Nothobranchius furzeri: one gene and its partner. Each later gene encodes a partner of the first gene's protein in a complex. Links are inferred from orthologs where the notes say so. Each region holds a gene or a part of one and is shown in the gene's direction. Other genes may lie near its edges.

Evidence for each region.
Region 2: the proteins of flt4 (region 1) and vegfc are in contact, whole or in part, in a crystal structure (PDB 4BSK), measured with the Homo sapiens proteins. The link is inferred for Nothobranchius furzeri from reciprocal best matches to the Homo sapiens genes FLT4 and VEGFC. Residues at the interface, in NP_891555.2 of Homo sapiens: Gln172, His199, Asp200, Ala201, Leu202, Tyr203; in NP_005420.1 of Homo sapiens: Leu119, Asp123, Trp126, Gln130, Asn167, Arg210.

Annotation. Positions count from the first base shown.
Region 1 is NC_091741.1:101,872,191-101,878,402, reverse strand, and holds part of flt4 (vascular endothelial growth factor receptor 3), read left to right. Parts: intron 1-1,502; coding exon 1,503-1,638; intron 1,639-2,160; coding exon 2,161-2,269; intron 2,270-5,707; coding exon 5,708-6,067; intron 6,068-6,212. UniProt on the Homo sapiens protein: Tyrosine-protein kinase that acts as a cell-surface receptor for VEGFC and VEGFD, and plays an essential role in adult lymphangiogenesis and in the development of the vascular network and the cardiovascular system during embryonic development.
Region 2 is NC_091747.1:73,386,328-73,392,539, reverse strand, and holds part of vegfc (vascular endothelial growth factor C), read left to right. Parts: intron 1-4,226; coding exon 4,227-4,551; intron 4,552-6,212. UniProt on the Homo sapiens protein: Growth factor active in angiogenesis, and endothelial cell growth, stimulating their proliferation and migration and also has effects on the permeability of blood vessels.

The DNA of each region.
Region 1 (6,212 bases):
AACAAGAACCGGTCTTCGATTCCTGCCCCTACTTACAGTCGTTATAAAGCCATACAGTCGTGCCTTGTACACAGAGTACTGATTGTGCTGTTGGATGTGTTTTCTGGATCTTATACATGTAATTGTAGTAATCTTACTAATAGCACTAACAAAGTAGACCCACTGGACCCCCTGCATTCTTGTGGGGACCCCTTGAGGGGGGTCACAGACCTCAGATTTGGAACCACTGCTCTAGTGGGCCCTGTGTTCACTGCCCAGTAACGTAGATCTAGACCAGAGCAGCAGCCGTCTTTTTTCGTAGATAAAAGCAGATTCGCTCTAGGATCACAGAACAGGTGTGACGTGTCAGCAGAAGCAGCGGTGAATGGTTAGAGCCAGTCTGGGGAGGCAGACCTGTCTGTGACCGACAATGGCCCCCTGACTGCCATTAGAAATCACGATGTAATCACTAGACACGTACTTAGAAGTCTTCACTAGAACATTGGGTCCCGGGTTCCAGCTCATGCATGACCAAACGCAGCATCGTGTGGCAAGAGTAAGCAGGCCATTCCTGGAGGAGGAAGGAACTGGTGGCCTTTGTTCTAACCTGACCTACGTCTAGAATAGAGCATCTCTGGGGCTTTGTTTTTTTGATTTATGTTGTGCTACCAGGTTTCACCTCGGACAATCCAGCAGCTCAGTGATGCTTTGGTTAGCTCATAAGTAGTATGCTCCAATGTTGCCAGGCATGCATACAAACACACGGGGGTGTACAAACCTCTAGCAACCTCTAGAGTTGTTGCAATGACATTTCAGCAAGTCGGACTGGTCTGCCCCATCAGGTTTACTGGCTGGGTTGACGGATGACCTCTGTAGGTTGATCATTTTCATTTTCATTAAATATTGTGGCATTCTTTTGTTCCTAGAGCATTACTCCTTCCTCGTCAGGATGGAGATCCAGCAGGATTTCCCCCCTCCGACTGAGATCTAACGTGTTCTTATTGTTGATGAGCAGCGTGAGTGACTGCTGACCTGTTCAGCGTGTACCCCGTTTCTCAGTGTTCATCTGTGAGACAGGCATCAACCCGACCAGAACAGAATAAAAATACAGAAGCAAGTCACTGAAAAAAGTCACGCTACGTTAGTTGATTTTTCATTGTTGTACTGTTCTTATCATACAGCGAATTTGTGCACTCTGCTGATGAGTTTAAGGAAAACTAAGCATCTTCACCTTCCCCTCATGATGTCCTTTAAGCAAAATAATAAAAAAAATAAAGAAGCCAAATAATTTCATGTTTCATTAGCTCCACTATGATGTTCATACTGTGGATCATGTTAATGGGAACGGTTGTTTTCCATTAGCTGCTGGGACACTTGCCACGACTGCCTCGGCTCTGGACTGATGTCAAATGCAATAAAACGCGTGGAGGGAAATAAGAGGACATGGTTGGATGTGTTTCTGCATTCTTGTCTGATGCACATGTCAACGAGGAGGGTGTGGGTGTGTTTGTGCTCGTTTCCAGGGTCCGACGAGACAGAAAAGGTCGGAGTGACAGGAACTCGGACTGTCACAACTGGCAGGAGATTAACTCAGAAAACGGCATCAATGAAATTGAATCGATTGAAACGTCTGTGGAAGTGGTGGACCATCGGCAAAAGGTTCCTCTCAACTGTTTGAAGCTTTTCTAGGATTAGACTTTTTTAATATACAAGAAGAATTTATGAGAATGTAGAAATAAAGACATGATTGGGATATGACACAGTCAAGAAAACATCCATGTAATTGACTTTTCCCTGAACTGTGATGTTTTTTGTCCTAAATTCTGGAGCTCGATAACAGAATTAGTCAATCAGGAGCTGTTTCCACTGTAGAAACATTTACAGCAGTTTTCCTCTCCAGACTTCCTGTAAGGCTCTTATTCCTTTATGTATATATAAACACACCTAGACACATGAATAAGGGGCAAGTGCCTGCACATTAATAAACTATTAGAGGAAACATCACAATCACGGATACAGATGTCCACACGTGCAGGAATCCTGTTTTTATCCTTCACATCTGAGTGGATTCAGCTGTTTTTTTAGTGTCAGCATAAAATAAGCAGCATAATGTCCTGCACCGTTAAAATATACACACTTCCTTTATAAATGCAAGGCTCATTGTCTTTTCTTTACTAATAGATTGTGAGCAGACTTCAGATACGCAACGCCAGCGTTTCTGTCATGTACAAGTGCTCCGCTGAAAACAAAGTGGGAAAAGATGAGCGACTGATCTACTTCTATGTAACCAGTGAGTATGCTGGCTGTGACCAACGTCACACAAACACAAATAATAAAATGTTTGATGTCACAAAATCGGAAGATTTAGGGTGAATTGCTAAAATTATATAAAAAAAATGCACTTTTTAAAGATCTTGTATATTAAGAGAAAATCAATCTATCAAAGCAAAGATCAATGTGAATCAGTAGTTGACCCCAAAACTTATAAAAGTCGGTGTAAACAAGTACAGTCAAGGGCTTCACCTCTCTGTGGACGAACTTTTTCCCATTTTTCATTGAGAGATTATTTTAATTCAGCCTAAATGTGGAGGGTTTTCCAGCATGAACGGTCTGTTTAAGGTCAAAGAAAAGATTTATATATATATATATATATATATATATATATATATATATATATATATATATATATATATATGTATATATATATATATATATATATATATATATATATATATATATATATGTATGTATATATATATATATATATATATATATATATATATATATATATATATATATATATATATATATATATATATATATATATATATATATATATATATAAATCACAAGACACTTCACAACAGAAACTGAAAAATATTTTAAAACGGTTATAAAAAATATAATAAAAAATAGGAAAAATTGAACATTTTAAGTTAAAAATGAGAAGAAAGAAAATGAATATGAAAAGTATTATGTGATCCAGGGAAAGACAGAGTTGGTAGAAACAGGGACCAAGAAGATGAACCCTGAAGTTGACTGGCAGCCAGTGAAGCTGGAGGAGAAGCGGGGTGATGTGGGTGTGTTTGGAGGACTTGGTCAGAAGCCGAACACAGGCATTCTGAACCACCTGTAGATGGTTCAGAGAGGTTCTGCTCAGACACGTGAAAAGAGAGTTACAGTAGTCTAAGTGTGAGGAGATGAAGGTGTGGATAACTGTCTCAAGTTCAGACCGAGACAGAATGGGACTCAGCTTAGCAATGTTCCTGAGATGGAAGAAGGAAGAGCGAACAAGATAATTGACATGAGAATCCAGGGTGAGAGCAGGGTCAAAGGTCACACCAAGATTCCTGACAGAAGGTTTGGTGTGGGAAGCAAGCTGACCAAGAGAGTCTCTGACTTTGGGAACCAGCTTGTCTGGGGCACAGATGAGGATATGAAGCCTAATGTATACTTCTCTGTCTGCATCAGTGCAGAGATATGCAACGCCATTATGACAGAGTCATGTCCAACCTTTTAACTCTCAGTCGAAAGTGACGGAGACCTAGCTTGTGATTGGTCAGGACACTGCTTCCTTTAAACATGGTACAGATTAAAGAATGCGCCACGGAAAACATCCGAAAATATAAATGTTTATTCACCCGTGACTGAAGAAGTACAAAGATGCGGAACAAGCATTTTATTCGTAGGCTGAAATGACAAGGAACGTGGGTTTAGAGGTACCAATCGCCTGAAGAGATGGAGGACAATGAGGGATAAATGTGTCCATGGTTAAAGTCTCCGAAATACATTGAAACAATATAAACACTATACAAAATCTTAGACCAGATACGTGCCAGTAATGGTGACAGGTTACCCAAAAAAAGCACTACATCCTTTGTTGTCCTGGCGGGGAATTGCTTTGCAACAATCCACATGTGATGTAGAAGTCTGAAGGAAAAGCCTCTCTGTGAATCTGTTTGCGCGACTCACACTCGAGCTGATGGAGGAGCAGAAATCAGGCTTCAGTCTTGTCTTCATTCAGCTGTAGAAAGCTCCCAGCCATCCAGGTTTTAATAGTCTAAACAGGAGAGTAACAGCTGCAGCTTAGACATCTCATGGGGCTTAAAGGAGATGTAGAGTTGGATGTCATCTGCATAAAGATGGTAGGAGATTCCTTTAGAGGAGCTCAAGATGTGCTGAAGAGGAAGCAGATAGAGGAGGAAGAGCAGAGGCCCCAGCACAGAACCTTGTGGGACACCATGGGTAAGAGAGGTGGTGGAGGACCTAAACTTGGAGATGGCCACAGAAACGGAGCGCTCAGACAGACAACAGGAGAACCACTCCAGAGCAGATCCTGACAGGTGTACCCAGTCCCTCAGCCTAGTAGCAGGTGATGGTCAACAGTGTCAAAGGCTGCAACCATCCACTACAATGTCTGGTGGTGTAGGTTTCCTCCAGATGGATTAAGACACAGCTTCCAGAAAGTTCTGCTTTTTGTTGTCTTTTAGCACAAGTCATGACCCTTGACTTCAACCACCTGCAGTACTTTAGATGTTGTTCTGTGTTTTCTTTAGAGCCAGGATGTGTTGCTTTTTAGGTCCTACAGTGATCAGTTTGGTTAGCTTTGTAACAACAGTTTATGAAATAGTAATTTTAGAAAATGCATTTTGTATTTGCTCAGGTTATCTATGTCAGATGTCAAACATTATTGTCTGACTGTGATTTCTGACCCAAACCCCCAATGAGGAAATCTTTGAGGGGCCGATTATTCACAACACTCCTGGTTGCTGTAGAAAGTCAGATTCAAGTTAGGAAGGCTCACTACATTTTACAAACTGTAAATTAGCATTTTGATGCGCACCAACAATTGCATAATATGTATAGATTTCCCATTTTAATCAGTAATAACAATAAAATATGATGATCCTCCTGGTGTTTGCTTGACATTTGTGTTAAAAACATTTAGCCACTCCTCAACAGAGCTTGAATTTATTATGATAAAATAAAACATTTTTAAAATCATCACAAACAGTTGGAGCTTGTCTTAGTTCCTATGGCCTTTATGTGTATGGCACCAAAGTTTATTCCCTGTAGCACTTTAATGCCAAAGAAATTACTGTAATAAAACTTCACCAGGTTGAGAATGGCCTTCAGCATGTCCAACTGAGCGGCACAGGCAAGACTTTATTGGGATGCTCAAAACGAAGACCGTTCCTATCGACATTCCTGGGTTGGACTCCTCTGGATTTAAGTGAAAGCGTTCCCTATATATTTTTTTTGTTGTAATTGGAGGAATTGATTTATTTATTATAAATCTAAATATATTATTTAGGGCAGCAGTAGCTCAGGTGGTAGAGCGGGTTGCCTCATGATCAGAGGGTCATGGGTTCGATTCCAGCTCCCGCCAGGGGTATCCTGCTGTTGTGTCCTTGGGCAAGACACTTCACCCAACTTGCCTGTGTTAGTGGTGGTCAGAGGGGCCGACGGCGCCAAATGGCAGCCTCGCCTCTGTCAGACCTCCCCAGGGCGGCTGTGGCTACAAGTAGCTTACCATCACTAGCAGTGGGTGAATGTGAGAGTGTGTGAAAGCGTCTTTGGGTGTCTAGAAAAGTGCTATATAAGTTCAATGCATTATTAATATTATTATTATTATTATTATTATTATTATTATATAAAGAGTGCTTTTCATCATTTTACATCATAAAGCCTCATCTTGACCCCTCACTGCCCCCTTTCATCTTTGAAGCCATCCCTGAAGGCTTCAGTGTAGATGTCCATCCCTCTGAGACCCCCCTGGAGCAGGAGAACATGTCTCTGCGCTGCAGTGCTGACAACTACACCTACGATCAGCTGCAGTGGTACCGTCTCAACCCCCAGGCTCTGCAGGACCAGCAGGGTAGGCTTCCGGAGCTGGACTGCAGCAGCATGCACCGGTACGCTAAACCCCTTCAGGGCGAGCTCTTCTTCCAGAAAAACTCCAACAGCTGGGTGTCAGACTTCACGGTCGAGTCCGTGCGGCTGCCGGATGAGGGGCATTATGTGTGCACGGCTCAGAGCAGGCGCAGTGGCGAGAAGCAGTGTCTGTTCAGATACATCTCTGTCAAAGGTGAGAGGAAGGAGGAATAAATACAAGCATCAAACACACAGATTCACATCCTGTAAATGTTCAGCCCAAACACAGCTAATTATAGAGCAGAACTCTGTGGAGGAAACACACACACACGCACACACACACACACACACACACACAC
Region 2 (6,212 bases), on another chromosome or scaffold:
TAGGTGTAGCTTAGGGTCTCTGTCTATACACCTTAGAAAACAATTTAGGTGATGGCATGTTGTTTTTCTGCTATTGAACTGTTTTCTAATAATGTGTTTAATAAAGTGAAGGAAGGAGAAAAATAACGTTTCCCTAGCAGTTTTAAAAAATGTCCCTATGTAATCCGATTAATCGATTAATCGTGTCGAGACCCCATCCGATTAATCGATTATCCAAATAATCGTTTGTTGCAGCCCTACTGTTGACCATCACCTGCTACTGGAGAGGCTGAGAGACTGGGTAGGACTATCAGGAACTGCTCTGGAGTGGTTCTCCTCTTATCTTTCTGAGCGCTCCTTTTCTTTGGCCATCTCCAAGTTTAGGTCCTCCACCACCTCCCTTACCCATGGTGTCCCACAAGGTTCTGTGCTGTGGCACTTACCCTTCCTCCTCTATCTGCTTCCTCCTCAGCACATCCTAAGCTTCTTCAAAGGGAATCTCCTACCATCTTTATGCAGATGACATCCAACTGTACATCTCCTTTAAGCCCCATGAGATGTCTAAGCTGCAGCTGTTACACACCTGCTTAGACTCTATCAAATCCTGGATGGCTGGGAGCTTTCTTCAGCTGAATGAAGATAAGACTGAGATCCTCGTCTGTGCCCCAGACAAGCTGGTTCCCAAAGTCAGAGACTCTCTTGGTCAGCTTGCTTCTCACACCAAATCTTCTGTCAGGAATCTTGGCGTGACCTTTGACCCAGCTCTCACCCTGGATTCTCATGTCAGTTCCCTTGTTCGCTCTTCCTTCTTCCATCTCAGGAACATCGCCAAGCTAAGTCCCATTCTGTCCCGCTCTGAACTTGAGACAGTTGTCCACACCTTCATCTCCTCACGCTTAGACTACTGTAGCTCTATTTTCACGTGTCTGAGCAGAACCTCCCTGAACCGTCTACAGGTGGTTCAGAATGCCTGTGCTCGGCTTCTGACCAACTCCTCCAAACACACCCACATCACCCCGCTTCTCCTCCAGCTTCTCTGGCTGCCAGTCAACTTCAGGGTTCATTTCAAGATCCTGGTTCTGGTCTATAGGGCCTTACATGGACAAGCACCATCATACATTGGTGATCTTCTTAGTCCCTACACCCCCAGCAGGTCCCTGAGGTCTAGTGATCAAAGCCTACTGGTTGTGCAGCACCAGGCTAAAGACCAAAGGTGGCAGATCATTTGCTGCTGTGGCCCCCAGACTCTGGAACTCTCTCCCCCTGAGCCTGAAATCAGTGGACTCAGTGGTCTCCTTTAAAAATCAGCTGAAAACTCACTTGTACAAGCTGGCTTTGGTGTGTCCTTTGTCACCTCCCTCTCCTTATTCTATTCTTATTCCACCTTTCCCGGGATCCATTGACTTCCCTCTCTCCTATTCACTTTCTCTCTCCATTTATTTTGTTCTTTTCTCCTTTTAAACATATTTGTAATCATTTTTTAAAATCTTTTTATACTTTCATTTTTGTTTTTGTTTTTATTTTTGTGAAGCGCCTCATGATTTTTATCTTGAGAGGCGCTATACAAAAGATCGTCTTCCTCTACTTCTAAGCAAACCAAACACGGAGAAGACGGACGACAGAGCTTGGGTAATCAGGACATTATTAAATCACTATAGACAAAACATTCATTGTTTAAGAGAATATGATTGTAATTAACCTATAAAGTGAGGATATCTTTGTATGAGACAAAATACGATTCTTTTATTAAAGTTAAGTGTCGTGTCTTCTGTCTGGAGTCTCCTTGTGCTGCTTATCTCCAGCGGTCAATGGGCAATCAGGCGGGGTACACCCTGGACAGAGAGCCAGTCCATCGCAGGGCAACAGGGACACACAGGACAAACAATCATGCACACACACACATACACCTAAGGACAATTTAGACAGACCAATAACCTAACAGTCATGTTTTTGGACTGTGGGAGGAAGCCGGAGTACCCGTAGAGAACCCACGCATGCACAGGGAGAACATGCAAACTCCATGCAGAAAGATCCCAGGCCGGGAAGTGAACCCAGGACCTTCTTGCTGCAAGGCAACAGCTCTAACCACTGCGCCACTGCGCAGCCTGTTTTAAAAACATGTTCAAATCATTTAGAACAGAGGAAGGAATTGCGGCACACTCAGCTTCAGACACCATGTTTATGAGAAACTCAGCGTTGTGGTGCATGTTTGACATACACTGCTTGTGAGGTGATCTAAACCCCCACACAGCAGGGAAGTCAGCATAAATCCCAATCAGCAAATTGTAATCCAACATAGCAATATCCACAGGCAGGAACAAATGCCACGTCAAAGACCAGGAAGACTGGAACTCCAGAAAATAATCCAGAATAATCCAGGAGAGGAGTAGATGCCAGTGAGTCATCAGGTTATCAGTTCATCTGGTGGAGCTCAAGGCATCATTAGAAACACACAGGGCAATAGACTCACACTGCTGACATCAGATGGTAAAAAAGTAAAAAATAAATAAATAAATTAGGAACTATGTGTATGAAGATTAACTGAATGATGTAGTTAAAATCAGAGGGAAAAAATGTGTAAATATCAGTGATGAAGTGTAAATATTGATACAATTCTTTGAAAAAAGAAAATGTATAAAATGTAGTGAAATGAGTGAATTAATTAAATGGAAACTAATAAAATCTGAAAATAAGCGGTAAAGGAAAAAAAAATCATAAGTGATAAGAGTGGTGTAATAAGCTAACCAATAACAGCAACTAAAAAAATGTGTGTGTTCTACAAAAGTAAAACCAAATGAATATCGAAATGTAAAAATATACAAATTCTGAATATTGTATATAACAAAAATGATTTTGAATATAAACATTTTTAAATGTAAAAATCTTAAGATGGTTAATACTTATGAGGGGGGTACTTTGGGCATGTGTTGAAAACCCCCTGCCCATTGAGCTCCCTCCTGAACTTGACCTTCATTGCGGTAGGTGGTCCTGAGCAGGGGGGACTCTACAGGCTCCTCGCCAAGCTCAGCCACTCCAGAACTGCCTCCGCAGCATCCTTCAGAACTATTCTCCGACGTTCTCTCACACATTGAACAGGTCGTGGGGTAGGCAGATGCTCTTATGAGTGAGCAGGACAAACTACGTCAGCTCCTACTAAAATACAAAGACTCTATTTCAGTCGACTCCATAGACTTAGGGTTGATTGCGATCCATGAATCCAACAAGGTTATTTGTCCACTGCAATGTCACTGTAAGGTCACCAGACACTGATTTGTCCACAGCCTGCTTAACTATGTGCTTTTCACCTAAAGACACAGGCTGTTTGTAACCTTGCACCAGAAGTTAGCCGTAATAAATAACTTCTCCTGACTCCGCTATCTGAGCTGCAACTCCAAGGTCCATGCAGAAGACGAGACCTTACTCTTTGAATAAAATTACTGTTATTTTGGTCTCATAAAATTATTTCTTTCAATCCCCAGGTTGTTTACAACCATATTATGTATGTCTACGATGAATGTTCTACTTAAAGTGATTTAATAATTAATCAATTATTCAACATACATTTTTATTATTTATTGACTTATTTCAGATTTTAAATAAACTAAATGAGTCTACTTGATAATTTAAAAATGATTTATTATTATTTACATTCACATATTAATATCAGTACTAACAAATGAATGTGTAACAGATTTATTTTACATTAAGTGGAATTAGCCTCTTCTGAGTGTCTGAGGAGTGTGTGATGTTTGAGGATTCTTGATAAAACTGGTTCATATTTCTCAGATCTGGTTGGTCAAAGTTTATAAACAAACACTCACTCACGTTCTATTTTCCCCAGTTCTGCCAGAGCTCCAAGTTACAGACAAGCTCAGAGCTCGTGCTAAATGACCATCCTAATCAACCAGATTTTTCAGTGGAATAATTGTAGTGGCTTAAAAAGCCCATCCTTTCTTTACATAAATCAATTATTCATTGCCCTTGTCCATGAGAGCAGGGTCTGTGTGATACTGGAGGTGTGTAAACACAACCTGGCAATGCAGGGATGGGCTGTCCCCATCTGGCCCAGGTAGAACTTAGTGTGAAAACACCATTAGGTCTTCACCTTGAATTGTCACCTTGAAAAACACAGTTCTGCTGCCTCTTAATGGCGGTGATTTGTAGAGACTTTCAAGGAGTTTTAACTGTAAAATGGGACGGTTTAAATGTCAGATTGTCTGTACTGACTTTGTCTCCTCAATCTACAGATGTCTTCTCATCAGATGTGTGTGGTCCAGATAAGGAGCTAGATCTGGAAAATTGCCAGTGTGTGTGTAGGCACAGCAATCCAACAAACAGCTGTGGCCCACACCGACACCTTGATCAGAAAACCTGCCAGTGCGTCTGCAACGCGCTTCCAGCTCTGTCCTGTCCTCCAAACCACGTCCTCAACAAGGAGACATGCCAGTGCACATGTGATAGAACGTGTCCAAGGCATCAGCCCCTCAACAAGACAAAATGCTCCTGTGAATGTCATGAATCACCAAACAAGTGTTTTCTGAAAGGAAGAAGGTTTCACCAACCCACCTGCAGGTATGCAGTTTTCCAGCGTGTCATTGGTATTAGAGCATTTTATCTTTGTGAGATACCGTAGTACCTAGGTTTTATCAATCAATCAACCACTCAATCAATCAATCAATCAATCAATCAATCAATCAATCAACCAACCAACCAACCAACCAACCAACCAACCAACCAACCAACCAATCAATCAATCAATGTTTATTCATATAGCACTTTACACAACCCAGAGGGTTGTAGTAGTCCAAAAGGGAGCTGATAAAAGCATGTATGGCTTTCTAGGTCACTGAGACTTAAACATGGTTTAGCTAAAACTGAAAAAAGCTAACCTTGATGACCAAGTCAATCTGCTTATCAGAATTCATGCCGCTATCTCTAAAAATTGGGGCTAAAGATCCAAAATCTGACAGTGTGACATTTTGCATGTTTGGTAAGGAAAAAAAGAATACACTCAGTTTTGTCGTTGAGATGTAAGACTTTTTCGGACAACCATAAATCTATGTCATGCATGCAGTGTAACAGGCAAGATATCGTAGCACAATTTCTGGACTTTACTGGCAGTTCAAAGTAGAAGTCATCAGCATAACAATGGAAAGACAAATTATGTCTTTTATTGACATTTCCAAATGGCAACTTCTAGAGTGAGAAAAATGTATTCCCTAGAATATATCCTTGAGGTACACCAAATGAGAGGCTTGCTGGGGATGAATAGGTGTTGAATTAACTGGACTTTGGTGGTCAACACTATTGGGACCATTATTAACTGCTTGTGTAAGACTGATCAGTTAGCTCCACCCTTGTCCCGTTATATGCTTTTGTCAGTTCCTCTTAAAATTTATTTTGACAGCAAGGCTCTATCGACCATTTAACTTGTGATCCAGCATGCATTACAACCCGTGGACAAGCTCGGCTTGAGTTTGCAGAGGCTTTACTTCCAAACGGAACTACAGACCAGACTGTTCACCGTGGGTCCAGTTCCTCAGCTTACCTCCCTACTGGCCTAAATTCAGGAAACCTGCTGGCCAGGAGAGCTCTTCTCCACACAGTTCCGACTTCTGGATCCCACCAAACCTGGTAGTAAGGGGGTATCATGGAATTCTAATGCAGAGCAGAGAGTGCAGTTCAGATCCAGAGATGCTGCTACAAGCCTTGTGGATCTCAGCTGGACCCTGAGTTTAGGGGTGAAAAGGTTAGGTTGCCCTAGACTGGATCTTCCCGTATGAGAAAGAAGCTCTCCATTATATAACAGATTTTTCTTGAAGTTTTTAAAAAGATCCCTCCCACTCCAGTAACTGCCTCTTGTGATTTACTGTCAGTGATTTTAACAGTAGACTGAAATCCGCTCTGGACCTGCTTGCTCCACTTAAAATCAAAAATCTATATTCAAAACGTGCTTGACCATGGAGAAATGAAAATCTAAAGAAACTAAAGAGGAACTGCAGGGTCGCAGAGCAGAGATGGACAAAGAACAAAATAACTATACATCATCAAATATACACAGAGCTACTTAAATCATATGGTAAATGGTAAAATGGTAAATGGCCTGTATTTGATATAGCACCTTCTAGAGTCCTGGAACCCCCCAAGGCACTTTACAACACAATCAGTCATTCATCCATTCACACACACATTCACACACTGGTGGCGATGAGCTAAGATGTAGCCACAGCTGC